3 linked regions of the Tamandua tetradactyla genome follow. The protein of the gene in region 3 interacts with the protein of the main gene of each other region in a pairwise test. Links are inferred from orthologs where the notes say so. Each region holds a gene or a part of one and is shown on either strand. Other genes may lie near its edges. The genes, in order: POGZ, WDR5 and ZXDC.

Evidence for each region.
Region 1: the proteins of ZXDC (region 3) and POGZ interact in binary tests that used the Homo sapiens proteins (3 or more experiments, as listed by UniProt). The link is inferred for Tamandua tetradactyla from reciprocal best matches to the Homo sapiens genes ZXDC and POGZ.
Region 2: the proteins of ZXDC (region 3) and WDR5 interact in binary tests that used the Homo sapiens proteins (3 or more experiments, as listed by UniProt). The link is inferred for Tamandua tetradactyla from reciprocal best matches to the Homo sapiens genes ZXDC and WDR5.

What each region holds. Positions count from the first base shown.
Region 1 is NC_135330.1:3,845,188-3,855,812, forward strand, and holds the start of POGZ (pogo transposable element with ZNF domain), read left to right. Parts: upstream 1-5,660; 5' UTR 5,661-5,895; intron 5,896-9,494; 5' UTR 9,495-10,625. UniProt on the Homo sapiens protein: Plays a role in mitotic cell cycle progression and is involved in kinetochore assembly and mitotic sister chromatid cohesion.
Region 2 is NC_135328.1:132,473,053-132,483,838, reverse strand, and holds the start of WDR5 (WD repeat-containing protein 5), read left to right. Parts: upstream 1-5,827; 5' UTR 5,828-5,952; intron 5,953-6,510; exon of another isoform or gene 6,511-6,666; intron 6,667-9,495; 5' UTR 9,496-9,588; coding exon 9,589-9,669; intron 9,670-10,480; coding exon 10,481-10,589; intron 10,590-10,786.
Region 3 is NC_135335.1:28,728,468-28,738,375, reverse strand, and holds the start of ZXDC (zinc finger protein ZXDC), read left to right. Parts: upstream 1-5,167; 5' UTR 5,168-5,297; coding exon 5,298-6,300; intron 6,301-8,989; coding exon 8,990-9,142; intron 9,143-9,242; coding exon 9,243-9,321; intron 9,322-9,908. UniProt on the Homo sapiens protein: Cooperates with CIITA to promote transcription of MHC class I and MHC class II genes.

The sequences.
Region 1 (10,625 bases), on a different chromosome or scaffold from region 3:
TGCAAAACTTTGTGTATATGTACAAGTGTGGATTTTTCTGGGGGAGATAATCCATATCTTTCATGGAGGTTTTCAAGGGGTTCATAATGCAGAAAAGGTTAAGATTCACCTTTCTATGCTAAGAACATGATCTTTATGGGTAGGAGAAGCAGATCTGAGGCTGCCAGGATATAGGGTCAAAGGAAAGAGGGAACTCATCTTCATACCTAATTTGCAGTACTGACACACTGCTGCATTTAGAGGCAAACCTATAAAAGAGAATTATTTCTAGGTTAAATCATTTTCTTCCCTTAAAATGATTTTAAACTGGTGAATCTTGGCACTTTCTCATTTTCAGATTTGATTACCTTTATGTTGTAGACAATAGAGAAGACATTAACAGTGGATCCTTGGCTGTCAGAGGAGATGGATTCCTTGCCATTTCTAACCCCTACTGTATGTACTCAACAAAAAGAGAGGACCCAAAAGGATTTGATACTTATCTGCCCTGTTCCAAATAAAACTTTCAAACTTAATTACGAAGGCATCTTATTCTCTGCATCTGTAAAAAAAAGATCACTTTACTTCTCATGTCCTTCAGTGGAATGAACTGGTAGGTTATTTAACGTCCACAGTTGCATTCTAGAAATTTTAACATGATGTTAAGAAAATGCAAACACTGCTTAATTTGAAAAGAATGTATCCTAGTGAAAAATGAAAACTTATTAAATTGCTCTTTGTGATATATTATAATGAACAAGCCACATATCAAGTGTGTCTATAAAGTAATCCAATTCATTTTTTGGTGAAGCTTTATGGAATCAATCTAATTACTTTATAGTCACCTATTCACCTCCTTAGCAACAATCAATATGAAACAATTATGACTCTGCTTTGGGTATCTCTTAAATAATATTAATTTACTCAAAGTTTAACTAAATAATTATCTCATGCAATCATGTAGCAACTCACAGTAGGACTTTTTTTTTTTTAACAGTTTTATTCACACACCATATCACTGTAAGTCTTGATGGCTGATTAAGTTGCTGCTTATGCATTTCTTACAAAATATATTTTGAAGACAAGACCTTCAGCTGCTTCTTACTGAAAGCTAATGAGAAACTCTTCTTCCTTTAGATATCCACTCTGAAAACATCCTCAAGTTATTTCTCACTCCCTGTACCTCTAGGAAAGTCCCCCACTCTCAGAAAAAATATTCTAAAGAAAATCCAGCAGCAGTCCTCTGAGTCCCCCATTTTTTATCTGACTCTAGTCAAACGCTGAGCTTCACTTTCCCTTTATTTCATGACAATTTACCTGTCAAGTCAGGTTTTTCAGTGTCCTCCTTTCCATCCCAACATGTTGACTCTCCGGATTTCCAGGCTCTGTGTAATCAGCTATCAATCTGTTCAAGCAGGGAGCTGTCCAGATTGTAAAAATGTCTCCACTGTTCCTCTCTCAGGTCTCCCAAATTGAGTAACTCCTTTTGAGTTTCCAGCTTCGAATTATCTGTGTATGTTGTACACATTGGATTGGGGATGCCCTTTAAAAAACAAAACATAACAAAAAACACCTAGTATTATCCCAGGAAGCTGCTTTCTGTCTGGGCTAGCCTCCCTCTCACCTCATCTTTCCCCCCATCTTCAGCCTCCCACTGAGCTTCAGCAGTCAGTGACTGGGTCTGTAGTTTAGAAAAGTGACATCGCAGAGGGCACCCATGACTCACTGCTTTCGAAGACATGTTGAAATCATTTGTCTTTCTGCCTTGACATGCACTCTCCAAGCTGCAGGTGGTTCCAATTTTCAACTCGTGGCAGAAATCATAAGCCAAAGAACCAAATAAGTGCTTCCATAAACTGTAGAAAAGAAACACTCTCCTGCTACCGGTAACTGTGAAATGCCCAACTTGGGAGTTTAGTTAACCTTTGACCTTTTTTAGAAACCCTTTTGGAGAGAATTCCATTTTTCTGAGTAGATTATTTAAGATTGGGGAAGCTTTTTTTTTTTTTTTAACTTTTTTTTACTGTATAATATAACATATATACAAAGCAAAGAAAGAAAAAAACCCAATGATTTTCAAAGCACTTTTCAAACAAGTAGTTATAGGACAGATCCCAGAGTTTGTCAGGGGCTACATACCATCATCTCAGATTTTTCCTTCTAGCTGCTCCAGAACTTTGGAGGCTGGAAGGAATATAGCAGCTTCTAACTGCTCTAAGATACTGGAGACTAAAACAATTATCAATATAATGATTCAGCAATCATAGTCATTTGTTAAACTCTATCTTCTCAGTGTAAGTCCACTATTACCTTTGATCTTTCTCCCACTCTTTACGGGTAGGTGGACCATGCCCATTCTAACTTTTTCATTTTGGAAGGGTGTGTCACTAATATGGGGTAGGGAGATGGAACTACCTGATGTTCTGGGGAGGCTGGGCCCTCTAGGCTTCAGGACTTATCTGGTCCAGGGACCCATCTAGAGGTTGTAGGTTTCTGGAAAGTTACTCTAGTGCATGGAACCCTTGTGGAATCTTATATATTGCCCTAGGTGTTCTTTAGGATTGGCAGGAATGGTCCTGGTTGGGGGTTGGCAGATTATGGTAGGTAGCAATGTCTGACTGAAGCTTGCACAACAGTGACCTCCAGAGTAGTCTCTGGACTCTATTTGAACTCTCTCAGCCACGGATACTTTGTTACACTTCTTTACCCCATTTTGGTCAGGATGGCATTGTTGATCCCATGGCGTCAGGGCCAGACTCATCAAGATTGGGGCAGCTTCTTAGCAGCAGGATTAGGGTCCAATTTCTTCAATTCACCAAGCTATATTGGCTTTCAGATGCCTCTGTAGTATGTTATAGAAGCACATGTGAATTGATTTGTAAGGATTTCATCCAGATTATCTTGTTCTACTGCCTTGTTTTCCCATCATCATCAAGATGGTTTAAAGATAAGAAAGACCAGCGCTATCACTCTAGAAAGCTGTGTTAGCTGATGACAACAAAATGGCCTAACAGTCCAAATTAACGTGGGAATTCTCTCTTTAGCACATGGAATATGTTTTTAAAAATGGGAGTGCTAACTCTACAGTCCTTTTTGAGATGCTGCTCCGTGTTGTAAGGTGGCAGAGTTTCTTCAAATCCCTGAAGCTATAAAATGCCTCTGTCCAAGATTCTTCCAGCTATCAGTCATTCAGCTGTTGATCAATTCTCCCAGGCTATGGCGGTAATTAGGATACGTTTTATAATGTCAAAGGATTTAATCCATTCCCTAATGGCCATTTATCTTTACCCTTTGTTTTCTCAACTATTTCCTCAAGGTTCCTCCAGCTCTAGCAAAAACCCCATTTTAACACTCAGCATGATGCTCTTCCTCAGGTATATCACCATCACTCACACGCATTTCGTTAGCCATCATGGGTCAAAATTGTCTCCCAGGACACCAACTAAGTGATAGAAAAATAGGTCACAAAGGAGTAAACAACACCTTGCAGAACACACACAGCTGAAATAGTAGCTCCAGAACTTCCCTTTTCCCCCTTCACAGCACCTATCTCTGTATCATAAGTTATATATTTACTGATAAATTTATTTGTATGGCAGATTTGTATTTTTCAAAGCGGTCACATACTTTGAGATGTGGAGTCTTTGTTCCCCACCCCTCTTGAGCTGATGTGGGGGAATTGTGGTGGAAATGATGTTATATGATCTCTGCGACTAGGTCACAAAAAGTCATACAACCTGTGCAAGTCCTCTTGGGACACAATCTTGGAACCCAGCCACTGTGATATGAGGATGCTCAGGCCACACGGAAAGGCCACATGTAGGTGTTCTGGCCAACAGCCCCAGCAGCAGCCCAAGCCAACATCCAGGCAGGTGAGGAAGCTCTGAGAGGCCTTCAGGGCCAGCCACTGCATGAGAGACTCAAGTGAGAAATGCCTAGCTGAGCCTACTCATCTCCTGGAACCATCGGAGATAATAACATTGTTTCAAGCCATTAAGTTTTGGGGTAGCTTGCTATTCAACAGAAAATGAAATATTTTATGTGTATAGAGTATCTCTCTACTAGAGTGTGAATTCCATGAATTCAGTGATTTTGTTTTCTTCTTTGTATTGTATTCCCAGCACCTAGAACAAAGCCTGTCTGGCATATAATAAGTATTCAATAAATATTTGTTGATGAATAGATGCAGGATGCATTTTCATATGATGTGCTAAGGGTTATTGGTCAACAGTACATGGTTCAGTCTACTGGGCTAGACCTCATCGGCTGAGAGCACAGGAAAATGTTCCACCAGGAAGATTTCAGAGGCAAACAACATTATAACAAATTATGATAAGTACTGCAGGACACCAAAAATAGAATTAGTGCTGCATGTAGAATTTGTGTTTGGGTGATAGATTCTATAATCCCAACATGGGCTTTTCCACATCAGGTCTGGAAACACTTTAGAAGTGTTTTCAGGAGATAAGTGAGTCTTCCAGTTCCAATAGTGATTCTCCCTAAGAATGACTAGTTGAAATCACTCACATATATATGGTATGAAATGCGATGAAGTGGGAGGAAAATGGGTGACAACTGTGTGTATGTCCATGTGCACATGTGTGCATGATTTGAAATGCCTATTCCATGACCCATTTTCATAGTCCTGTGACTTGAATGGCCATATGAATGGAGTGTGGATGTAAAGATAAGGAATAAATATGGTGTTGGATCTTCCCAGTCTGGCACCAGGCACTGTGATTTAGCATTTGGTTTGCAGCAACCATTTGTGTCTTGTCTAAAGAGCACCAACTTCCTCTGATTACAAGAAAAATACTAAAATTTTATCATCCATCCTCTAAGGAAGCAAGAAAGGACAAAGTTTCTTGGCTACCTGGAGAAGCTGTCAGTTTCTGTTCTGGGAAAAATAACATTGTGATGGTTTTGTATGGAGGTAATCCATGTCTTTGGGTCAGTCCGTCTCAGCCTTGATTGGAGCCCAAAGCAAGGATATGCTTAGAATTGGATATCTCTCTCGTGAGACTATTTCCAATGGTTTCAAGTAGTTTCAGTAGCAAGAATCACCTTGATAAGCACACAGGCGTGACTTCTTCCCAGAATCCCAAAGGTTTTCAAAGCAAAAATGGCTCTTAAAAGTTTTTCACTTAAACAATGTTACCACTGCCACAAATCTACTTGGCTGAAGGACCGCTGAGGACGGGTGAGAGCCCCCGGGGCTGTCCTCGCTGGTGCCCCCGGGCCTCGCCCTCCGGCCTGGAGCGTGCAGTCCCCCTCACTGGGTCCAGGCCTCGCGTGGCAGGTGGGGGCACTCCCAAAATCCCCCGGAAAGCCTAGGCAAGTGAATTGGGGAACATTTCCTTTGGAAACCCCATTTTTCTCATCAGAATCTGGATATTGCTGCTGAAAGTTCATTAATTTTTTTTATTAGAAATATGTTTTTTATTTATTTATTTGCGGGCCCACACAAACTTGACTGGAAAAGAAGCGCGGGCAGGGGTTAGTCTGAGCCCGTGACGTCCCCCGAGCTCCGGCCAATCGCAGGCCGCGAAGAGGGGAGGGCGGAAGTGACGAGTCGTATCCCTCCGCGGGCGAGAGGGCCGGTGGGGGGAGTCGGAGTCTCTCTCCCCCGCGCCAGCTCCCGTACACGGAGCCGCATTCCTTGGCCCCCCCCACCCCCTCCCTCGGGGCCCCCCCGCCCCCCTCGGGAAAAAAAATCCAAACCAAATCACTCGAACCCGAGGGAGGTTTCCTTCCACCCGCGGGGAGACGAGCTTCCAACGGTTCCCTCTTGGCCTTCTCCCCCAAGCCCCCGTCCCCTCCCCTGCTCCCACCCCCTCTCCGGGCGCCGGTGCAAGGTCCCTTTAAGGCGACGGCGCCTTCCTCGGGTCAGACGAGCGGCGGCGACGACCACGGGAGGTGAGTGAGCGCGCGAGCCCTCGGTCTCCCCACCCCCTGCTCCCGGGGGTTCCGTTATCTTTTCGCTCGGCGCGGAGCTCCGAGGCGAGACAATGAGAGGGGGATGGGGCGGGCGCGGGGTGGGGGCGGGGGCTGGGGCGCGCCCCCGCCCACCGCGAGGAGCGGCGCGGCCGTGGCGGCGGCGGCCGTGGGTGCGGCGCGCGCGCACGCGCGTGGCTGTGAGTGCGTGCCCCGCGGGAGGCGCGGCGGGCCGGACGGCGGCGGCCCCTCGCCAGTCGCCTCCGCCCCCCGCCGCCGCCGCCGTGGCGCGCGCGCGCGCACTCGCCGCCCACGGCTCCGCGCTCCCCCCGACGTCCACACGCACGCCCGGCGCGAGGCGTCCCGGGGGAGTGGGCGGGCGCGGGCGGCGGCCCGCCGGGGAGTGGGCGTGGGCGGGCGGGCTAGGGGGCGAGGCCGCGGCGGCGGGGGCGGCTCCCGGGCCCGCGCCCTCCCCGGCCGAGGGGGAGCCGGTGCCCCTTTGGCGCGGGAGGCGGCCCCGGAGCGTTGGCTGCGCGAACCCCCGCGTTGTGTAATCCGTTCTGGTCTCTCGTGCCTCCCAGGCTTTCGTGCTCCTCAGGCACGGGTCCGCCCTCGCCCCCGAGTCCCTTTCGGGCGGGCGCGGTGCTTCCCGACGTGCCCGAGGCGAAGAGGCGCTCCTCTCCGGCGAGCCCACCCCGCCGCGGCGGCGCCATGTTTGGCCTTGGCGCTGGCCGTCTCGGTTGTCCGCGCGCGCTGGAAAGGAGCCGTCTGTCTCTCTGCCTCGCCGCGTGTGCTTGCGGCCGTGGGCTCCCGACCCGCCGGCGCGGGATGCGCCCTGCCGTCGAGGACCTTGTTCGCGCCCTCGCCCGGGCGGCCTCCGCGCGGTGCTGGCCCCGGCCCCTGCCGGTGGAGCTCCTTCCGGGCAGCCGTCACCTCGGGGCGGACTCAGCCTGCACGCTTCCCGCCGAGTCCCAAAACCCCACAGAAATGGGGTGTTTAAAGAAAATTTCCCAAGTAAATCTGGGGGAAGCGAGTGGGATAGAGAAAGGCAATGAATTTGGAGGCCATCGCTTTGAAGGGGCCGGGACCTTAGTCTGTGGTCATTTCGAACAGTCATTGAAATTCCTCGCTTGGGATGCATCGGAAGTACCTGAGAGATGGCTAAGCTTGCAGCGTTGGGGGCCTCGTCCCCAAAGAGTCATTGGGTGGGGCGCGGCCTGGCGAGGCTGCAGGCGTGGCTTCTCCGTTTTCACCCTGCTGACCCTCAGCTGGTCCTGGTTAAGATCCCCACACCTGGAGAGTTACTGGTCTAGCGGAAGGGTGAAGGATGTAAATGGGAATCTCTACCCTTGATTTCCTTCCCCTTTCCTTACTCTGTTGGTGGTGTGTCCCCTGGTAAAGGCACTCAGATAGTGAAGAAGTGCTGGGGTGAACTCCACTTCCTCAGGTTTCGCCCACGTCTCGCAGTAAAGTGGAGATCATGATCCCTCGGGATCTCAGACCTTTCAGGATGGCAGCAGCTCAGAACTATTTTCAGAATAATGCAGAAATGCTGTTTATCCTTTTCGCTAGTTTTTGCCCTGATGGTCCAGAAGCAGTGCTAGTTAAAACTGTCCTCACCTTAGTACAAAGCAAGGTAGAGGAGCCATACTGTGTACCTGAGAATATCCTTGACAAAGCAGTAAGAATGACTTTTTTTTTTAAATCCAGAGTACATCTTTTTTTTGAGAAACATCCACACACGTACACTCCAACCATATCATCAAATCAGTGGCTCACAGTGTCATCACGTGTTTCCATATTTTTCACCGTGATCATTTTTAGAACATTTGCATCACTCCAGGAAAAGAAAAAGAAAAAAACTCATACATCCCATACCTCTTACCCCTCCCTCTCGATGACCCACAGTATTTCAGTCTACCCAATTTTTACTTTTTATCTCTCCGTATTTATTTTTTATCCACATATATATTTTTTACTCATCTGTACATACCTTGGATAAAAGGAACGTCAGACACAAGATTTTCGCAATCACAGTCACGTTGTAAAAGCTATTTCGGTTATACAACCCTTGTCAAAAATCAAGGTTACTGAAACGCAGATCAGCAGTTTTGCATACTTTCCTCCAGTTTCTCCAACACACAATAAACTAAAAAGGGATATCCATATTATGCATAAGAATAACCTCCAGGATGATCTTGATTCTGTTTGAAATCTCTCAGCCACTGAAACTTTATTTTGTCTCATTTCTCTTTTCTCTTTTGGTCAGAAATGCTTTTTCACTCCCATGGTGCTGGTCCCAGTTCATCCCTGGGAGTCTTGTCCCGCATTACCAGGGAGATTTACACTGCTGGGAGTCATGTTCCACGTAGCGGAGGGCAGTGAGTTCACCTGCCAAGTTGGCTCAGAGAGAGAGAGGCCACATCTGAGCAGCAGTGTGCTGGAGGTTGGGGGTGACTCTTGGGCATAATTATCACTTGGCTTAGCCTCTCCCTTGCAGGAATAAGCTTCATAGGAGCAAACTCCAATATTGAGGGCTCAGCCTTATTGTATTGGTTGTCCTCACTTGCAAGAATGTCAGGAATTCCCCAGATGGGGAAGTCAGGTATTTCCTCCTGTCTCCCCAGTCCCCCAAAAGGATTTTTTTTTTTTTTTTTTTTTTTTAAAGACAGAGAGAAGGAAGGAAGGATAGAAGGAAGGAAGAGAGGAAGAAAGGGAAACATCTTTTAAACATTTTCTTGTTTTATTGTATTTTGTTTCTCCGTTTTCGTTACATGGGCTGGGGCCGGGAATCGAACCGAGGTCCTCCGGCATAGCAGGCAAGCACTTTGCCCGCTGAGCCACCGCGGCCCGCCCCCCAAAAGGATTTTGCAAATACTTTAGTCACTGCCCAAATTACTCTGGGATATATTGGGGCATCACACTAACCTGTATAAACCAACAGGATCTCATCCTGTTCAAGATTCCATGTACTTAATGGTGTTCAAGTAAACTGACCGTACAAATTAAATTAGATAATGTGCTACCCAAAATATAAATTCTTCCCCAAATAAACATTTCTCTCTTTGGTCTTGCTCAGAAGTTGAAATTTTAAAATAGGAACCGTATCACCCTTTACCTAGTATTCTGATTTACCTTAGTCCTATCCAGATCAGCTTTATTTGAATCTCTAGACAAAGTCTGATCACTTTTTCAGCCTTTTAAACAGTTGCTGAATGGGGTAATGCTGACTTTGATAGCATTAATGCTCTAACTCTGAGTCAGTGGTGTCGCATAAATACTCAAAGTTTCAGGGATCAACAGGTTACCTACGAATAGATCACTGGCTCAGAATTTAGAAATTTCAGTTACAACTCCTAAATACATGTGACTGCTATAAGAGTTTACAATCTAGGAACCTTTACAGTAGGCCCCAACCTGACAACCCATACTCTCAACTTCAATTCTCTCCATTTGCATATTAAAGTTAATCCATGTGAGTGAGGCATAATATTTGTCTTTTTGTTTTGGACATGTTTATTCAACATGTATTAGGGTTCATTCACCTAGTTGCATGCCTCACAGAGTACATCTCTTTTTAGGAAGCTGTGATGAGATGGAAAGTATACCCAAAGCCCTTTTGCTGCCTGCTGAGGTTTGGTCATTGTCATGAGGAAGAGCATTTGGGAGGTTGAACATGAGCTGAACTAGCTGCTTATTTCATGGACCAGCATTTTTACTTGAAAAAACCAATGAGACTGACAAACTACAGTTTTTCAAAGTTGAGTATCTGGCAGACATTTTCTTGAAATTGGACCTTTCACTTCTGAGAAACAGTTGACTGTGTTTGTTACCAATGATAAAATTTGAGTGAAAATTAGAACTTTTAAAAAGTTGACAGCTTGAAAAAATAAGGTTGACAGCTTCCCTATACTTAAAACAATGTTTAGGACTGATTCTTTTTTTAATGGCTTAATGAAATGTGTCAACATTTGGAATGTTGGCATAGCTCATTAAATCTGTATTTTCCAATGATTGATGTCACTAAATTGCATAAGGGTTAACAATCCTTTCCCAAAATGCAGTATAGACCAATAGATTTTTTTTCTTCAATAATTTTTTTTTTTTTTTACACATGAGTAGGCACTGGAAATCAAACCCAGGTCTCCAGCATGGCAGTTGAGAACTCTGCCTGCTGAGCCATTGTGGCCCGCCACTTCGATGATTTTTTTATTGAGTTATAATCATCCCCAGTGTACAAGCAGTGGTTTATAGTATCTTCATAATGCTGTGCATTCATCATTACAATAGATTTTGAACACTCATTATGCCAAAAAAAAAGAGTAAAAGTAAGAAAGAACGCCCCAAATAGCCCATAACCGCTATACTTCTCTTTTGTTTTCTTTCCTTACTTATTTGCCCATATACTGGATAAAGGAAGTGTCAGCTACAAGGTTTTTACACTCACACGTTCACACCTTAAAAACTCTATAGTTATTTAATCATTTTCAAGAATCAAGACTGTTGGATTACAGTTCAGTAGTTTCAGGTATTTCACTTAAGCTACTCCAGTACACCAAAAACAGAAAAGGGTTATCTATATACTACATACGAATAACCTCCAGAAAGACCTCTTAACTCTATTTGAAATCTCTCAACCACTGAAACGTAATCATTTCTCTTCCCCCTTTTGGTCAAGAAGGCCTTCTCATTCCCACGATGCCAGGGCCAGG
Region 2 (10,786 bases), on a different chromosome or scaffold from region 3:
GCTCGTAGGCACTGAAGTGGGTCCAACGCCTTCGTCCTTCTCACTTCTGCCGTGAGCATGCCCTGCCTTTCCTGTCCCTGCAGGCTTTTTGGAGGGACAGGTTCTTGGAGGAGAACTTACTGGAGGTCCCACGAGCTTCAAATAGGCCCTTGAGGTCTACTTTTTACTTCTTACCTCCTGCCCTCATAATCCTTATTCCTCCATTCCCAACAGCTTTTCCATTAGACTCCGAGACAGAAGGGAAAATCAGTGCCTGGGATCCTAATTGTCCAGGGGTTGAAGTTCTCATACTGCAGGACTGGGTCTTCTCTGCCCCACATAAAACCATCAACCAATCTTGGAGCCCTGCCTCCTCACCACACCTCCAAGCAGACCCACACTGGTGCACACCTGCTCCAGTTGCCAGCTAGGTTCTGGCAACTGGTCTGGGTGGAGCGGCCATTCCCTGCTTCCAATTTTGTCCCCCAAGGTCGGGCAGGCTACAAGGAAGACAGCTGCGAGTTAACCCCAGGCTGACAGCCAGCCTTGGAGGGGCCCTACCAACCCGCTCTGCAAAAGCATGCCCTTGGCTGTCCGCAAGGGGATTTAAAGAGCCTGGAGGATGGAAGGAAAGGGTGGGCAGGTGGAGGGGCCTCCGAGTCTCCTTGTGGAAGGGAGGGAGCATGCCTGCAGCTGGTAGCAGAGCCGCCTGTTTGAAGCCCTGGGACTTTGGCCCCTGCGCATTTCCTCTGTGTCAGCTTTTCTATTTTTGACCGGTTGCTTCCCCTTTAGGGAATTATCAGCGATACTGTGGGAAACCCAGAAAAGCTTTGTCCAGGGTCTGCTGGGTTGCCTGCTCATGCCTCGGCCTCCTGGGCTCCTCTTTACTGCCTGGGGGTGGGGGGTGGGGCGGTTCATGCTGGCATGTTCCCCACTCCTGGATTTTATCCTAAAGAAACCATTTATTGTGAAATCCTGGAGACAACTTCAATGTCCAGGTGAGGAGTAACACATAGCCACGAAGAGAGGAGGGAAAGTGACCCTGGGTGGTGAGCTGGGAGGATGCTGGTGGTAAATGTGAGCTTGGAAGGCAGAAGGCAGAGCTACTGTGATCACAATTGGGTGGAAGTGATATCTGCAGATGGATAAGAAACAGTGTGGTCCACAGGGTATGCCTGGACGCTGGAGGCCCAAAGAATCAGTTAAGCTCCTGGTCTGTCATTTACTTGCTGTGTGACCTTGGGCAAATCACTGAGGCTCTCTGAGCCCATTTTCTTCTTCTGTAAATATCAGAATAGTTTACAACCATGTTTGGGGTTTCATGAGACAAGCAAAGGGCACACAGTAAGTGCTTCCTAATAACGTGGATAGATGGAAATAGAGTGGTATTGTGGGGAGAAGATGGAAGCAGTCACATTTATATTCCTTGAAAAAAAATGACCCTGTAAACCACTGTTGGCTACCCCAAATTAAACCACAGTAAAGCCGTTGAAAGTTTCCATCGGCTTTTTAGGCCTCTGATTTCAATCTGGCCTGGCCTAGGTGCTGTTTCTTTCTTAACTTGTCTGGACCTCTCTCCTTCCAGGGGGATTACACCCAAGTCCCGGGGCAGGGACAGGATTTGCAGACAACACCAGGTGCAGCCTGGCTTCCCATGGGGGAATCTGCATTCCTGGAATTCTTGCTGGGAGGCCCGCCCAGCCTGGCTCCAGTTGAGGCCGGGCTTCCACAGCCGCTGGATGTCCAGGGGCCCGGGCCAGCCTGGCGGTTCCCGTTGGTGGGTGGCTGAGCTCCCAGCACCCCCTGGAGGCAGAGGGGAGCCCATCCCAGGGAGGCGCCTGGGCCTGGGATGGGGTGCAGGGTGAGGGCAGATGGATTTAGTTGTCATGACTTTGCAGCAAGCTGAGGATAGATTTAAAACAAACAGGAAGAGAAAGCAAACATTCGATGCTTCATTCATTCGACTGGTCTTTATTAAGCACGTATTGGGCACCCTCTGCACCAGGGTGAACAGGCTGTCTCTGCTCTCGTGAGCCCTCCGGTAGCGGGGAAGTGGACAGGTGAGGGGGCCCTGGTGAACAAGGTGCAGAGGGAAGAGAGGGAGGGCTGAGCTTGGAGGTCCTTGAGGAGGGGACAGCCCACAAGTAGGACCAGTAAGAGAAGGAATCCAGTGGGGGACGATGCTCAACCATGCTGGTTTACCTGGGCTGAGGGGTTGTCTGTCAGGAATGGAGACTTTCCGTGATAAAACCAGGACAGTGCTGGGCAAACGAGGGTGCCAAGAAGGATATACGATGTAGGGGATGAGGCTGGGGGTGGGTGGGGTGTGCTCGATAGCTGCCAGGAAGGGCAAGGCAGCAGAAGGGTGCCACAATGACATGGGGTGTGGGGCTTTTTCTGTAACTGGGAAACTGAGGCCAAAGGAGAACAAGGATGGTGGCATAAGTAGGACTGGACATGGCTGGGTACCAGCGATTTCAGAGACCAATGTGACTCAGGACGAAGCTGTCCGCTGAAGGCCCTTGGGTCTTCCAGGTGACAGCAGGACACAAAGTGTGTCCTGATGGACCACTGGGGAAGATGTTGGGGAAGAAAGAGAAGAGCCCAAGGAAGGGGAGATGGTGGCATAAGTCTTCCAAACTGGCTGCCCTGGCCTGCTTTTCAGGAGAAAAGAATTTACACAAAACCCCACTGACCTGGGCTATAGGGGAACACTGGGGTCTCTGGATAACATCAGCAGCAACCTGGAATGGTAGCCCAAAGGTGTGGGCTACCCTGCCTGTGAAATCCAGTGAGTGCTTCCTGGAAACCCCGAATTCAGGGCATCCCCATGTGCATCGGCTTCCTTGACCCTCCCTCAATTGTCATTGGAATTTGCTAACCCCCGCCTCCCCCCCCCCCCCCAAGGCTCTGGGCTTGGCCATTAAAGGGTCAGTGCTCTCCTGCCACCTGCAGCCGTGTGCAGGGAGCCTCACAGCATTCCTAGGGCACGGCAAAGGAGCAGAGCTGTTCTAATGCCACCTCCCAGCAAAGCCAACCTCTAGTATGGCAGTCCACTTTTCCTTACGAAATACTTATTGCTAAGTTACAAAATAGAGCTTTTCAAGGGCTTCGGCCCTACAGAAATGTGACATTTTGCTTTTCAGATCAGCAGACTCCATAGGACCTTTCCTGTCTGCTCCAGTCCACATGCGTTACTTTCTTCTTTGAAGACCTATAACACCTACTTTTTATCCATCCATCTATCCACCCATCACCCACCCACTCATCCGTCCACCTACCCCATCCATACATGCACCCACCCTTCCATTCCCCTATTCATCCATTCACCCACTCATCCATTTATCCAACAACCTATCCACTACCCATCCATCCACTTATCCACTCAACCGTCCACCCACCTACTCACCTACTCATTCATCAGCCTATCCATCCATCCATCTTCCCATCAGCATCACTGAGTGTGTACTGTGCAATTGGGGGTTAGGAATGTAGGTTCTGCCTTCAGCCAGTTCTTTGGCTGTTGTGGGAACCTTCACAGGGGAGTCTTGGGCAGCCTCTCAATCTCTTGGGGCCTTAGTTTTCACAATGTGAAAGGAGGATAATGAAGGCACGCACAGTCAAGGGTTGTTTTGAAGGCACAAGAGAAAATATATGTAACAAACAATGTAGAATTGGGCATGCAGGTTCTCAAATGTATGCTAGATATCACTCCTCTTTCTCCTCCTGCTTCGTCCCCACCCAGCTCAGCCAGGCCAGGACACAATGAGCTTCAACTACAATGAAAAGGACTGTTTTCCATTGGGGAGGATCTGGGAGCGGTGGAAGTACCACTGGGTGGGGTGGGGGTGGGGGGATGAGAGGAAGCCCCTGAAGCACCAGTGGACACTGGCTGGTGGAAGGACTTATGTGAGATAGGACGGTGCCAGGCAGGCTTGTGGCCTTGCTGTGCTGATGGACAGCCTTGAGTGGGGGTGGGAAGCAACTTTTTAGAATATATATTTATAAAAATTGTTCATGGATACAGTTTCATTTACCGATTCATCTCCACTGGCCCAAGCGCAGTTAATGTTCTGAAAACAAAACAAAAACATAAACCCCAAAGGCTGAAGTGTTTTTTCTTGCTTTAGTTCTTTTCCTCTCTTCTGTTTCCACTTGTGGTTTTTCTGAGCCTGACAACTTTTGGAAAGGGATATAAAAGGATTTACAACATAGATAATAAAGCAGATGGTTGTATTGTTCAGCTGCTCTACCCACTGTGCTATTTGCTTTCAGGAATTTAGCTATGACTGGAGGCACGGATTACAAAACAATTGACAGTATGAACGGATTTTCTCATTTTCACTGGAAGGAGGCAAGACCCATTTATCTGGTAGTGGAAGTTGGGCGCACAAGTTAGCCGTTTGGGGTGAGTCCTGGACTGGAGGGGGAGGCAAGCGAGTTTGTCAAAGGAGTTTGGATTTTGACCTGAAGGCAATGGGAAACCATTTCTGGGTCTTAAACTAGGGAATGACAAATCAGAATTGGATTTTGACAAACTCCCCTTTCTGCTCTTCAGCGACTGCTGGGTGACCAAGGTGGGGATGGAGAGAAGTGAAAGGATAGAGGACTGTGTGAGGGTAAAGGGGAACCTGTGAAGAGCTGCCCTCCTTCACTCCTAAGCTAGCTGTGTTTACCTTTTGCTCCAGGGCACCTGGCCCCAAGGTGGTGAGGTTGGCTGGGCAAAGAGCTCCGTGGGGAGCCAGGCTGGGGCCAGCCAGGCAGGGACCTTGCCCACCCTGTGTCCCCTCTGGGAAGGGCTTCACATCAGCTGCCACTCTTCTGGCTCTGTATCCATGACAACCACACACCTCCTGTTCCCAGGGTGTTTCCCTTCCAATGCTGGGTCTCTTTACCAGTACACGTTCCCGTATCCTATCTGGGTGTCCATTTCCGATTTGGAAAATAAGGGACTACATTATTCTGCCTACAGGCCGGGTTGGGCCCACGAAGCTGTGGAGGCCACACACCCCTCCAAGATCCTTAGACCCGTGTGTGGGAGAAGCAGGCAGCTGGGCGAGAACGTGCAGGGGACAAAACCAAGCTCCGGCCCTACCCTGCCGTGGTCCACGGAGGTGACAATGCCTGCTGGAGGGAAAGCGCCTCGCAGCCTGCAGAGCAGCAGGCACGCAAGAATCCTCAGCATAGCTTCTCGCCTCCCAGGGGCTCCGGGGAACGGTCCCAGCAAGTCGCAGCCCTGGGCAGGGGCTCCGGGCAGGCAGGGCAGGCAGGGCTCGCGGCCTCACGGGCCAGGCCCGGGCCGGGCTCTCCCGAGACGGCTGTCAGGACCTTTCTGCAGCTCGGGCTTCTTTCTCCTCTTTAAGCCGGGAAGGTCTGACCACCTGCCCGCCCTCCCGCACTTTGCCCAGGGCTGCCCTCGAAGCGTTACCTGTGGCCCCCGCCGATAGGAGCGCTCGTGGAGAAGGCAGCTGCTTCTCCAGGCGGCTCCGACTCGGAGAAGAATCGTGGGGGCCACGCCGCCAACTCAGACCGCGGGAGGAGGGCTGGATCCTCCACGGGAGCCGGCTGCGGGGTGTGAGAGTTTGAGGGCACACTAGCTTATTCCTGTACGTTTATTGTGCTTCCATTTTCAAAAAGTGCAGGAAAAGAAGGGCCTACATCCGACAACGCGTGGGTCCACCGCGGGAAGCCTGCGCACACACTATCCCTTTAAGGCGTTAGGCTTGATCGAGGCATTCTGCCCCTTGCCGCTCGCCGTAGCGCTCCTCCGAGAGGCTGATTTTGTGGGTCTACCCCGCCCCCAGGACCCCGCCCCCTCCCTTCGCGCCTGCGCACTGTCGGGCGCACCCCTCCGTCGGCGTCTGGCGCCCGCCGGAGCTGCCGCCTAGCCGAGCTCGGCCCGTGCTTCAGACCAGGCGGCTGCCGACGAGGCGTCCCGAGCGCTCCGGCCCCGCCGCCGCCGCGGCCCGGCAGGTAAGCGGGCGGCCGTCTCCGCGCGGTGGGCGCGAAGCCTGGGGCGAAGCGGGCGCGATGCCGGTGTACTCCAAACCGTCCCCCGCCGCCGCACGTGTTCCCCGGCCCTCCCGGGACCCCGGGCCAGCGCGCCCCACGCCGCCCGAGGGGCCCCCAACTGCCTCCGCGGCGGGCCCCGTCCTCGCTGTGGAGAGCTCCTCGCGAGGGCCGCCGGCCTCTCACCGCCCTGCTCCCGTCCCAGGACCCGCTTCCCCCGGGCCGAACGCCGCAGCCCGGCCCGTGGAGCGCCCTCCCCCTCGCCTCTCTTCTCCCCGGTGTACCCCTTAGACCCCCCTGGGTTCCCGGATGCTCTCCTCGGCGACCCCTGACGGATCGTGGGCCCCACGGGCCCTTCCCGCCCTCCCCAGCCGTCCAGTGACGAGACGGAGCCCGAGGGTCGCGGCTTCTTTTTCCCCTGCAGCCAGCGGGCACTGCGTCTCAGGGCCCCCCTTTCCTCCAGTCCTGCGCCAGGGGAAGACCCCGGACGGGGCTGAGCGCTCTGCGGGCTTGCCCACGGTCCCTGATCCTGGCCGTCGGCCGTAAGGGCTGCGAGTCCTGGGGCGGGCTCCACCGGGTGGGCTTTCTGCCATCGGGGAGAAACCACCGGCCCTCCCGCGGTGGCGCCTCCGGCCCCGTGTTTCGTGGGTGAAAGACACGCATTAACAGCTTTCTTGTGTGAGTTTTGCCCACCCGGCACCATTTACCGGCCCTCTGCAGCGAGCGTTTTCCTGAAGCTTTGGCTCGGACAGGCGCTGGGCCAGACTCTGCACCCGAGGCTAGCCCGGCCCCATTGGGAAGGCGGGTGGAAGGGCCAAGTACTGAAGGGGGTGTTCAAGAGCCCAGAGGGCTGGGGGGCAGAGTCCCCTAACTCACTGCTGGATGGCCACCTGCGGGTCACCTGGAGGCCTCCTGCAAAGTGCAGGCGACCTCCTCTCCGTCTCGGAGGCCTCATTCCAGGGTGGAGCCTGGGAATCTGCCTTTAACGAGCAGCCCAGGTGCGCACGCTGCCTTAGGAGGTCAGGCTCACCTGGATGCGCTAGGAGGTCAGGCTCACCTGGATGCGCGCTTGCCTCTGCTCTGGAGGCCAAGTCCCGATCCCCTTCCCTTCACTCAGATGGTGCTCACCTTGTGTGTACCCCTCGTTTTCAAAGACCAAGTCCCTGTCCAGCTCCCCCCCCCCCAAATGGTTGTTTTTCAAAAGGTATTCCATGGGATTACCTGAGTGTTCACGGAAAGTGCAGAGCCCTGGATCCTAACTGTGAAGTAGAATCTTGGGGTATTGGATCAAGAAATCTGTGTTCTTCAAAGTCCAGCTTTCCAGTTGACCTTTTTGCACATTGATGTGTGAGAGACCCGAGAGCTGAACGCTTCTGCTGTAAGACTGCCTATTTCATTCCCTGGGCTTGCTCCTCCCCTCATGTTGGCAGAAGCCATGTCCCACCTCCAGGTGGGGCTGGCTTTATGTTAAAAGGAGCTGCTCTGCCACTCCCCCCCACTCCAGCTGCCCTTTTCACCTGTGTGGGCAGACCAAGCCCTCGCCCCTCTCACCTCAAGTCTCTGTTCTCACTGGTGTTTTGCTTGGGTGGGCTGGCTGGCAGGCATCTGCCATGCTCTCTTAGTTTTCTGCTGTAATCTCAGTTTCCTTATCAGACTTTCCAGCTTTGTTCCTAAGAGGAGGTTTCCTTAGTGCCACTCTTCGCTGCTTATCCATCCCACAGAGGAGAGGGCAGCAGTTGAGGTAAACTGGCAACCAGCCAGGTTGCACTAAGGATAATCAAGTACCTAGCATGTACTTAGCATCAATTTTGTGCCAGCGCTTTGCCTTTGGTGGGTTTTGTGAGACCTATCCTTCTCTCCCACTCAGACTCAGTCTTTGAGGGCTGTACTAGGACAGGAAATCTTTAATGCAGGTAAACAGAGCTTTGCTGCATGTGTATTCTGCCCAGTGGCTGTTACATTGTGATTTTTCTTCTATTCTGTTGGATGAAGACAGAGGCATGGGTTTTTCTGATAGTTCCCGTTTCACCTTAGTGTTACAGGGAGGTTGTGCAGGGCTTCGGACTTAAGCTTTAAGCTAGAATCTACGGTGTGTAAACTCATTAGGTTAGGTGTAGTGCTACCTTCTGGACTTTGGATGGCCAATGATGGTCGCAGAATGGCTTGGCAGCTCTTCTTTTTAATAGTGCTTTCCCTCATTTCAGAATCACCTGGTGTGCTTTTAGGAAATGTATCCAAAGAATGGAATCTATTCCAGTGATAGAAGAAACTGATCACGTACTGTACGGGTTGTAGATATTCCTGTTGTCAAGTGAAACCTAATTGAGTGGCAGTCTTTTTTCCTGTTTTCCTGCAGTTTGAGTCTTGCTTGCAGAGCATCAGTGCTGTACTTTTTCTACAGAAGGCAGTAGGTGGAACCTGTAGCAGACACAGCTGACTCTGGTTTGTTTTTTTGCTGCTGTGTTTTGTAGCTGTTTCACCAGGGAGAGAGAGCCTTTTAAGTTGTTAGCATTTTGGAAATCAGCGTTGCATCTACTACTAGTACCTTGCAATAACAAAGCCCACCCGTTAGACCTAGAACCCCTGGGCATGTGTTCTGTTTTCAAACGTGGTCATTAACAGTATCATATCACTTAGGATGCATTTTACAATTTGGATGAGCTCCCAGACTTCTGCACCTGAATCTTAGTCTCTTCTAATTTGGCATATTAGTTTTCTATCAAGAAACCTTTGGGCTCGTTGAAGTTTTCAAAATTGTGTTTTGTGTGAATTGTGCTATATTCCTATGGACCATGGGACACAAAATAGGAAGCACCCTTGAAGTGTAGGGTCCTTGAGAAAGTGTGAGAGCAGGGATATTTTGGCATAGTGTCTGAAAAGTGAGCATGAACTTAGGGTAATATATTCCAAGTTGGAACATTTTGTTGCTACAAGACTCAATATGGTAGTCAAATGGTTTTCTTTTTTATCTTTTTTCCCCTGGATATTAAGTTTTGAAACTGTGGCCTGTTTACTGGCCTAGGACCCTGTTTGTGTGCTAAAGCTGCTGGAATGCAGTATACCACAAACGGGTGCTTTTTAAAGGGGGTTTGCAATTCTAAGGCCATGGAAGTACAAATTAAGGCATTGAGAGAAAGATACCTTGACTCTGAAGAAAGGCCGATGGCATCCCAGTTTCCTGTGTCACATGGAAATGCATGAGGCCACATCTGCTGGCTCTTCTCTTCAAAATGTTCGAGATTCTGTGTGTCCTTGCTTGTTCCTCCCAGGGCATTTCTTTCTTTCAGCTTCTCTGGGCCCTGAACTCTCTCCAAAAATGTCTGCCTTTTAAAGGACTCCAGCAAGTGGATTAAGACCCACCGTGAATGGGCGGGGTCACATCTCCATGGAAACAACCTAATCAGAATTCCCACCCAGTAATAGGTCTGCCCCCACAAATTTGGATTGAAAGAATATAGGCTTTTCTGGGGGTACATAACAGATTCAAACCATCGCTTTCCTTTTTAGGTTTCAGCTGGTGGCTGGCCTCTTCATTGTGAGTCTTCTGTGGAAAACGGTGTACACTCCACTTACATCTCCTACCTGGTGGGCTTCAGAGCCATGGCCACAGAGGAGAAGAAGCCAGAGACCGAGGCAGCCAGAGCACAGCCGGCCCCGTCGTCATCTGCCACTCAGAGCAAGGTGTGTCCAGGAAGGGCCCCTCAGGGAGTTTCCCAGGAAAAAATAGGTTTAAAGATTCTTGGAAATATCATTTCAAGGCCTTAAGTCTATTCTCCCCTACTCTGTTAAATATTGCCACCAAGTTTTAGTCACTGCTCACCTACCTAGCAAATGCTTTTTATGTTCCCAAACCTGTCACCTGAAGAGGGAGCATGATCAAACATGTAGATGGAACTTTGTCAAAGATACAGATTCTTGGTCTTGAATATAGGAATTCCTGAGAGTGGGACGAAAAAAACCAGTTCTTAATAAATACCCCCTCTCCCCAGTTCAAATTCTGCTACTTAGCCAGGCCTGTGCACTGTTGTTGTAGACAAGAGAACAGCTAAACTGAGACCTTAACAAAGGGAGCAGTGTGTTTAGGTTTGCTTTGGAGAAGGCTGGGCCAGAGCCTGAGCTTCGGGGACTTGTGTGATGTAGTGTTGCCCCAGGGACACGACTAGTTGGAAATGGGGTGGGGTGGTTCTGTGAAGGGGCCTTGGACCTTTTTAGCTTGCATGGTGGAACTATTAACCCTGAAGTGGGGAGTACAGGAGAAGCAGGGTGTTTGGGGAGAAGTTAATGATCTCAGATATAGACATGTTCGATATGAGAGGTGACATCCAGGTACGGATTTTCTGTTGGCACTTGGAATATGGATTTGGGGCTCAATAGATAGGTCTGAGATTGAAATAAAATTTTTGGAAATCAAATCCAAACTGGTAAGCAATTGAATTGGATAGTGGTGGTGAGTTTTGGTTATAACATTTAAGTTGTACCATCTCTCCAACAGCCTACACCGGTTAAACCAAACTATGCTTTGAAATTCACCTTGGCTGGCCACACAAAAGCTGTGTCCTCTGTGAAATTCAGTCCCAATGGAGAGTGGCTGGCAAGTTCTTGTAAGTATTGTTGAGGATGTCAGCTGTGGGAGAGGCAGAGTGTGAGCTGCTGACGAGAATCTGGGGAGAGGGTAGGAGGGTTTACTTTCTGACACTGCCACAGGACCATTTGCCGTAAGCTGTGTCCCTTTGCTCCGATTGTCAAGAGTCACTGCCTGTAGAAATTGTGCCCGGGGACACTGTCAGGGTGGTGGGGG
Region 3 (9,908 bases):
CAGTCTGTATCTCTTCAGCTCCAATTATCCCTTCTTTTTTTTTTTTAATTAACGGAAAAAAAGAAATTAACCCAACATTTAGAGATCATACCATTCTACATATGCAATCATTAATTCTTAACATCATCACATAGATGCATGATCATCATTTCTTAGTACATATGCATTGGTTTAGAAGAACTAGCAACATAACCGAAAAAGATATAGAATGTTAATATAGAGAAAAAATAAAAGTAATAATAGTAAAATCAAAACAAAACAAAACAAAACAAAACAAAAACCTATAGCTCAGATGCAGCTTCATTCAGTGTTTTAACATGATTACTTTACAATTAGGTATTATTGTGCTGTCCATTTTTGAGTTTTTGTATCTAGTCCTGTTACACCGTCTGTATCCCTTCAACTCCAATTGGCCATTATCTTACCCTGTTTCTACCTCCTGCTGGACTCTGTTATCAAGTACATATTCCAAATTTATTCTCGAATGTCTGTTCACATCAGTGGGACCATACAGTATTTGTCCTTTAGTTTTTGGCTAGACTCACTCAGCATAATGTTCTCTAGGTCCATCCATGTTATTACATGCTTCATAAGTTTATCCTGTCTTAAAGCTGCATAGTATTCCATCATATGTATATACCACAGTTTGTTTAGCCACTCTTCTGTTGATGGAGATTTCGGCTGTTTCCATCTCTTTGCAATTGTAAATAACGCTGCTATAAACATTGGTGTGCAAATGTCCGTTTGTGTCTTTGCCCTTAAGTCCTTTGAGTATATTCCCAGCAATGGTATTGCTGGGTCGTATGGCAATTCTATATTCAGCTTTTTGAGGAACCGCCAAACTGCCTTCCACAGTGGTTGCACCATTTGACATTCCCACCAACAGTGAATAAGTGTGCCTCTTTCTCCGCATCCTCTCCAGCACTTGTCATTTTCTGTTTTGTTGATAATGGCCATTCTGGTGGGTGTGAGATGATATCTCATTGTGGTTTTGATTTGCATTTCTCTAATGGCCAGGGACATTGAGCATCTCTTCATGTGCCTTTTGGCCATTTGTATTTCCTCTTCTGAGAGGTGTCTGTTCAAGTCTTTTTCCCATTTTGTAATTGGGTTGGCTGTCTTTTTGTTGTTGAGATGAACAATCTCTTTATAAATTCTGGATACTAGATCTTTATCTGATAGGTCGTTTCCAAATATTGTCTCCCATTGTGTAGGCTGTCTTTCTACTTTCTTGATGAAGTTCTTTGATGCACAAAAGTGTTTAATTTTGAGGAGTTCCCATTTATTTATTTCCTTCTTCAGTGCTCTTGCTTTAGGTTTAAGGTCCATAAAACCGCCTCCAGTTGTAAGATCCATAAGATATCTCCCAACATTTTCCTCTAACTGTTTTATGGTCTTAGACCTAATGTTTAGATCTTTGATCCATTTTGAGTTAACTTTTGTATAGGGTGTGAGAGATGGGTCTTCTTTCATTCTTTTGCATATGGATATCCAGTTCTCTAGGCACCATTTATTGAAGAGACTGTTCTGTCCCAGGTGAGTTGGCTTGACTGCCTTATCAAAGATCAAATGTCCATAGATGAGAGGGTCTATATCTGAGCACTCTATTCGATTCCATTGGTCGATATATCTATCTTTATGCCAATACCATGCTGTTTTGACCACTGTGGCTTCATAATATGCCTTAAAGTCAGGCAGCGCGAGACCTCCAGCTTCATTTTTTTTCCCCAAGATGTTTTTAGCAATTCGGGGCACCCTGCCCTTCCAGATAAATTTGCTTATTGGTTTTTCTATTTCTGAAAAATAAGTTGTTGGGATTTTGATTGGTATTGCATTGAATCTGTAAATCAATTTAGGTAGGATTGACATCTTAACTATATTTAGTCTTCCAATCCATGAACACGGTATGCCTTTCCATCTATTTAGGTCTTCTGTGATTTCTTTTAGCAGTTTTTTGTAGTTTTCTTTATATAGGTTTTTTGTCTCTTTAGTTAAATTTATTCCTAGGTATTTTATTCTTTTAGTTGCAATTGTAAATGGGATTCGTTTCTTGATTTCCCCCTCAGCTTGTTCATTACTAGTGTATAGAAATGCTACAGATTTTTGAATGTTGATCTTGTAACCTGCTACTTTGCTGTACTCATTTATTAGCTCTAGTAGTTTTGTTGTGGATTTTTCCGGGTTTTTGACGTATAGTATCATATCGTCTGCAAACAGTGATAGTTTTACTTCTTCCTTTCCAATTTTGATGCCTTGTATTTCTTTTTCTTGTCTATAAGAGGGTATTGTTTAGTCTCCATATATTTGTGAAACCTTGGGTTCTTTGGTGATTATTGATTTCTGGCTTCATTCCATTGTGGTCAGAGAAAGTGCTTTGGTTAATTTCAATCTTATTAAATGTACAAAGACTCAGTTTGTATCCCATAATATGACCTATCCTGGAGAACGTTTCATGTGCACTGGTGTTTGGGGTGTAATGATCTATATATGTCTATTAGGTCTAATTCATTTATCAAATTGTGTAAGTTCTCTATTTCCTAGTTGATCCTCTGTCTCATTATTCTATCTACAGAGGAGAGTGATGTATTGAAGACTCCAATTATTATTGATGAAACGTCTATAGCTCCTTTCCATTTTACCATTGTTTGCCTCATGTACTTTGGAGCTCCCTGATTAGTAATGTAAACATTTATGATTGTTATTTCCTCCTGGTGAATTGTCCCTTTTATTCATATGTAGTGTCCTCCTTTGTCTTTTATGATGTCTTTACATTTAAAGTCTATTTTATCTGATATAATATAGCTGCTCCTGCTTTCTTTTGATTACAGCTTGCATAGAACATCTTTTCACTTTCAATCTCATTGTGTCCTTGGGTCTAAGATGCATCTCTTGCCAACAGCATATAGATGGATATTTTGATCCATTCTGCCAATCTGTGTCTTTTAATTGGCGAGGTTAGTCCATTAATATTCGAAGTGATTACTATGAAATCAGTTCTTAAATCTACCATCATAACTTTTAGTTTTTGTCAGATCTATGTATTGCTGACCTCTGGGAAGACGGCCTCTGGGTCTTTGTTGGTTCTTTGCACCCTTTCTTTTTAATATTGTTGCTGTGTGTGGTGGTTTGGAGATAAGTGACCTAGGCAAAATATATTTTTAAACTTAACCCATTCCTGTGTATGTGAACTCTTATAAATAGGACTTTTTGATGAAGTTACTTCAGTTATGGTATGGCCCAACTGAATCAGAATGGGTATGAGGAGACATGCGAGGCAACTAGAGCAATGGGGAGCAATTGGGGGGGGGGGTTAAGAATGTATAATTAGATTTGCATTTTGGAAGATCACAAAAAGTCTGCTGTTGGGGGTTGAATCATGGGTTCAATCATGGTCTCCAGAAAAGGCATGTTCAGGTCCAAACCCTATGTCCTGTGGGTGTGAATCCATCTGTACACAGGACCTTTGAAGATGTTATTAGTTAAGGAGTGCCCAAACTGAATGAAGGTGTGTTTAACCTAATGGGGCCCAAGTCCTTAGAAGCAAAGGAAATTGGCCACAGAAGGAAAAAGCCATGATGAGCAGCCAAAAGCTGTAAGTCAAGGGAATGCTGAAGAGAAAGGAGATGAGGTTGCCATGTGCATTGTCAAGCTTCAGCAAAGCCAAAGAACTCTAAAGATTGCTCACCTGTCAGAAGATACTATCCCTGGGAGGAAACAAGCCTTCTTGTCTCTGAAACCATAAGCCAATAAATTCTTATTAAGCCAACCTATTGCATGGTAATTATTTGTCAGCACCTGAGAAATGAATACACCTGCCCTGTGATGAACAGAAGTGTGCGACAGGATGGAGGCAGAAGATTAGCTTTGGAGTTATTTTTGTAAGAACCTAGGAGTGAAATGGAGGATGCAGAGAAGTGAAGGTACTCCAGACTGATTCTGGAGGTGTGGAAATGGGGGGCTTGAGGGAGGCAGAGGAGTGGCTGAGTTCAGGAACATGGAATAAGTCTGCTATTCTAGTTTGCAAGTTGCCAGAATGCAATATACCAGAAATGGTATGGCTTTAAAAAAGGGGAATTTAATAAGTTACAAGTTTACAGTTCTAAGGCCCTGAAAATGTTCCAATTAAAGCAAGTCTATAAAAATATCCAAATTAAGGCACCAAGAAGAGGTTACTTTCACTCAAGAAAGGCCTATGAAGTTCAGGGTTTCTCTCACAACTGAGAAGGTACATGGTGAAAACAGCTTCTGCTAACTTTCTCTGCAAGTTTCTTGTTTCATGATGATCCCCACGGGGACAAATCCTTCTTTATCTCCAAAGATCTCTGGGCTCTGTGGTTCTTGAGGCTCTCACGTGGCTCTAAAAAAGAGAATCCTAAATACTTCCTCTTTTAAATAGGATTCCACTAAATTAATCAAGACCCACCTGGAATGAGTGGAGTCACAACTCCACGGAAGACATCTAATCAAAAGTTCCACCCTCAAATGGGTGAATCACATCTCCACGGGAACAATCAAAAAGCTCCCAACCAGCGATATTGAATGAGGATAAAGAGACACGGCTTTTCTGGGGTACACAACAGATTCAAACCGGCCCATCTGCTCACTGCAGTAGTGTGAGGCTGTGTGACGTTCAGTACACTTGAACATGTATGCAAGGATCAGAGTAGGAAGACCTGAGTGCCAGGTAAAGGTCCAGGGGCAATGGAGGTGAGGTTTGTAGACCACCTTGTTTGCAGTTTAGCGAACTCCTTAGAGGTGGGCAGCTTGGTGGTCAAGAGCTGAACTCTGTGTTCCAATCCTAACTCCCAATTTCCAGGCTGTGTGACCTCGGACAAGTTATTCTAGCTCTCTGTGCCTTGGTTTTCTCATCTGTAAAACGTTTGTGTGAATGAGTAAACAAATATGTATAAAGTATTCGGGACACAGGAAAGGTTTCTGAGATGCTGGCTGTGATTTTCAATCCCTTTGTCTGCCCTACACGGATGCAAACTTCACTCTGATGAACCAGAGGAACCTCATCTCCCGGAAAGTGAAGCCAACATCAGCTGGGAGAACTGCCGACCATCCCAAGGTTCTAGAGGGGCTCCGCCCACGGCGCCCCGCCCACACCCCGCCCCGCCGTCCCCTGCGGGGTGACGTCATTCGGGACCCAGGAGGCCTCGCGCGTTCCCCTCCCCGGGCGCAGGCCCGCGGCTCCGGGCCTTACTCCGCGCCGGGCTTTGGCTCACACCCTGGGCGGGGCTGGCCGGCGCTTCCTCCGCCGCCCGGGTATCCGCGGCAGCTTCGGGGCCACCAAGATGGAACTCCCTGGGCCGCTGGCCGCCCGGACCCCGCGCGGGGGCCAACATGGCGGCGATGGCCCCGGCCCCGGCCGGCTCCGGCGAGGACCAGGGCGTCCCGGCAGCCCGGGCCCCGCGCGCCGTCGGCTGCTGCTGCTACGGGGCGCCGAAGATGGCGGGTCCGGGCCGCGGCGCGAGGAGGCCCTGGCGGCCCCCGAACTGGGCCCGCCGCCCGTGGAGGACGGCGGCGCCGGCGACTCCTTCGTGGTGCTCCTGGAAGTAGCGCGCGGCGCCCCCAGCGAGGCCCCCGGGCGGCGGGAGGCCGAGCCCGGTCCTGGGCCGGCGCGGGGCGGGCGCATTGGGAGTCCCGCGGGTCGCCCTGGGCCGGGCTCGGGTGGTGCGGCCGCCAGCCCTGGCCCAGCCGCGGCCTTTGCGGGCACCATCACTATCAACAACCAGGACCTGTTGGTGTGCTTCGACAACGGCGTCTTCACGCTGGCCGCGCCGCCACCGGGTCCACAACCCGGGGGGCCTGTCGAGCCCTCCGAACCCGCAGCCGCCCTGGCATCCGGCGAGGAGGCCGCGAGGATGGCCGACGGCAGCTGCGGGGCCCCGAGCGCGGGCCCAGGCGGGCTGGGCTACCGCTGTCCCGAGCCGCAGTGCGCGCAGACCTTCGCCAAGAAGCACCAACTCAAGGTGCACCTGCTGACGCACGGCGGCAGCCAGGGTCGGCGGCCCTTTAAGTGCCCCCTGGACGGCTGCGGCTGGGCCTTCACCACCTCCTACAAGCTCAAGAGGCACCTGCAGTCGCACGACAAGCTGCGGCCCTTCAGCTGCCCCGTGGGCGGCTGCGGCAAGAAGTTTACCACCGTCTACAATCTCAAGGCGCATATGAAGGGCCACGAACAGAACCTGTTCAAGTGCGAGGTGTGCGCGGAGCGCTTCCCCACGCACGCCAAGCTCAGTTCCCATCAGCGCAGCCACTTCGAGCCCGAAAGGCCTTACAAGTGTGATTTTCCTGGTAACCGCGCGCCGAATGCCTATGGGGGAGGGCCGGGTGCTTCGCGGGGTTCCCAGGACCCTGTTAATGAAGCCAGGGGTGCGAGGCCCCGATGGCGATTGGAAATAGCCGAGCAGACCCAGGATACCAAATTCCGAGCCATGGAGCTGGTGCGGCATCACGCAGCCGCTTGCGGCCTATTCTAGCAGAATTTAAAATCGCTGGGCTCCTGAGTCGGAGTGGGAGGGGCGGGAATCTCAAGCGCGCCTGGGTTTGCATGCTTGTTCATTTCAAGTGCTTCCGTTTGGCGTCTCGACCCCCGCTCCGCTGCGGGGATATGACCGTGGGTTAGCGAGCGGTAATCGCAGCTCTCCTTTCCAGTGGTGAAAGGGACAGATTTCTGTTATGATGCTTTTGGTTAACGATGTTGTTCAAGCATCTTCGCAGACACTTGCACTGAGTGATGAGTCAGATCTTTGTTTTCCTCAGTCTCATCACTTAAAAATATTCAGTTATTGATTACTGAGTAAACAGGACAAACACCGGGCAGAAGGAACAAAGATGAATATGGCCAGATGCCAGATTTTAATGCACGGGAGGAATAATCCTGAGTCTGTGGGGCTTCGTGGGTTTTGGCCTCTTATCCTTTCATTTCCTTCGAGCTTCACAGCATTTATGTGCCTTTTATACTTTTATTTTCTTTGAACTTCCCGGTTTCGTGAAGTTTTAAAAATTGTCCTCATTTTACCCATTACGAAACCTAGACCAAGCAATGCTGACGAGATCCAGTGTGGGCTCCTTCCCCACTGTGTCTGCTTGCAGTTAAAGGGAATGTTAAAGAAAGACTCCTTCCTTCTCAGCCTACTATTAGGCAGATATCAAAAGGGACAGTGCTCACGAGGAGAAGAGATTGCTGGTTGTAAACATATAGCTCTTTGAGCTGGTAAGAATGGGCTGTTCCCTGGGGGAATAGGTAGAAGGCTGTACAGGTGGATGAACCTGCTGAGCCACGGCTGGGAGATGTGGGCTGGCTGTGGTTAGGGCATGGGAGGGGTGGTGGCAGGTGAAGGGAAATTGGGAGATTGTAGGAGGGCCAAAGAGAGGGTGGAGGGCCTTCCATGCCTCACTTATTAAAATAGAAGGAAACCTGTAACACGCACCTAGCATACTCCTAGCATGTCCTGTGTGGATGTACATATTATGTATATGCCCTATTCTAATAATGTATACAGTATGAAATATGCACATACTGAAAGTTTGAAAGAGTGAGATACACGACAGATACATTAGCAGGCTCTAATGTTTTTCTTCCATCTGGCAATGGACTGTCTTATGCAAGCCTCTGTGTAGACAGCATGCTTCAGGCCACTGTTTGAAACCTTTTTAATCATTTATTCTGGTGGAAATCAGATGGTGGCTTAGGCCTCAAGCTTGTAAAATGCACAAAGAGCATCATTCTGTCCAGCCTGGTTTAAGGCATGAGGTGTCCCCCTGAGGGTTTTGAGTTGGATGATTAGTGGGTACATCTGTCTGTGAGGTTGATAGAATTGGGAGAAGCCAGTAAAACACCATGAAAAGGGCCAGATGTGAGTTTACTGAGAGCCTGAATCTGACTTTGACAGTGGGAGAGGCAAGGAGACTCGGGAGGGAAGACTGGTGCTGAGGCAGAGTCAAAGGGGCTGATACTGCCTGAAGCATAGGGAGTGGTTCTTTTTGTGGCAAAGAGATTCATAGTATTCAGATTTTCCCAGCTGGGCCAGTGATTACACCAGAGCAGGGGCAGGGAGCAGATTCAGGCCAAAGAGGAGGACTTCAGGGTGGTTTAGGAGGGAAGATGGGCACTTCCCAGGAATGTGTGACTGGGTAAAGTGGAATTCTTGGGCCTGATCCTTTTACCCAGTGCTGTGTAGTGTCTCTGCTTGGTGATTCGCAGGTATGACCGTGGTACAAGTTAAAGGCTCTGTCAAGAGCTACAACAAAGAAACCTGTTAAACAACTTTCAACTTCATGTTCTCCACCATATCCGAGCAGTGAAGGTTTTTGTCAAAGGAGGACATGGATGTGGAGAGTTTGGGAGTTACAGAGAGAGGCTCATTTGACTTGGGGTGGGCCCTAGGCGGGGTGATGGTGAAAGCCATGTGAGTGAAGATTACAGTCTTAGCTTCTTTGACGAAACAGGAAATTGGCAGAAAGAAAAAGAGGGTTGGAGGTTGGCATCTTCAGAGAATGTCAGGGAGGAAATTTATAAATGTAGAGGGGCGAAAAAGTCTTATGACTGTTTTGTTGTCCTCCAGAGCTCTACCTCCGCACACAAAATCTTGTTCTTTATATTTACATTCTCTCAGGTGCTCTTGGGTATCACACAGGCAGCATTGGAATTTGAGTTCATGGAAGAGACACACATGTCTGCAAGATCAGTGCTACAAAACTGACAGGTGGCTGTGATTGGAAGACATCCTCTCAATCCATCTCAAAGTCATATTGCAAGAGGTGGCCACCTGGTGTCCTTTGGTTCCCATTGGCCACCTTGATTTTAGCTATCACAAAGCCAACTTTAATGCTTATATATTTTTTTTAGAGGTGCTTCTGCATCATCTTTTCCCCTTGTCTACTTTAGTGTAAACAATGTCCTGGAATTGTGACTAGCATTTTCTGTGTGGTCTAATTTTTGTTACACCAATGATGAGGGTTTGCTTTTTTCTTTGTTCAGGTTGCGAGAAGACATTTATCACAGTGAGTGCTCTGTTTTCCCATAATCGAGCTCATTTCAGGGAACAAGAACTCTTTTCTTGCTCCTTTCCTGGATGCAGCAAACAATATGACAAAGCGTGTCGACTGAAGATTCACCTGAGAAGTCATACAGGTAATGAACTAGGGAATGCCACATCATTTGAACACAGGATTTGTCTTGGTGTTAGCTGTGGTATTTATAATTATGTTATGTATGTTTTTTCTTTTATCAGGTGAAAGACCTTTTATTTGTGACTCTGACAGCTGTGGCTGGACGTTCACCAGCATGTCCAAACTCTTAAGGCACAAGAGGTAGTTTTTACATTATGGGATACATTACCAGTTTTGAAAATGAATGATTTGTTGGTCAGTAGTAGAAACCGGTGGATGAAATATCTGCAGATTTTTTTTTAAGTTTTAAAAATAAGAGCTCATCGCAGACAATTGGGAAAAATAAAAATTATTAAAAGAAAATCACTAGAATCTCATCATCTAAATATTTTTTTTTCTAAAAAATGGCTTTTTTAAAAAACTTAATTGCTATACTTTATATGCAGATCTGTATTTTTTTAACCAGTAATTGTAAAATAAGCTTTCCTGGTGTTACTACAAACTTTGCACTGTTCTGATGACTACCCTGAAGCAGTTGGCCTGTGTCCATCTAACACTAAGCACTTTGCACAGGCATCTTATTTAATCTTTACAACGGCTCTCTGATACTGATGTACGTATTCACCCTGTTTTACATGGATACTCAGTTTGGATGGTGTGTCCAGCCTTACACAACTGCGTGTGAGGGATTGAAAAATAAAAGTGTTCTTTAAGAAAAGACAACTCTTTAACATGTTGGCTTTGTTGAGCCCTTTAAGAATTACAGACAAGGCTCTGTGCAATCCTCG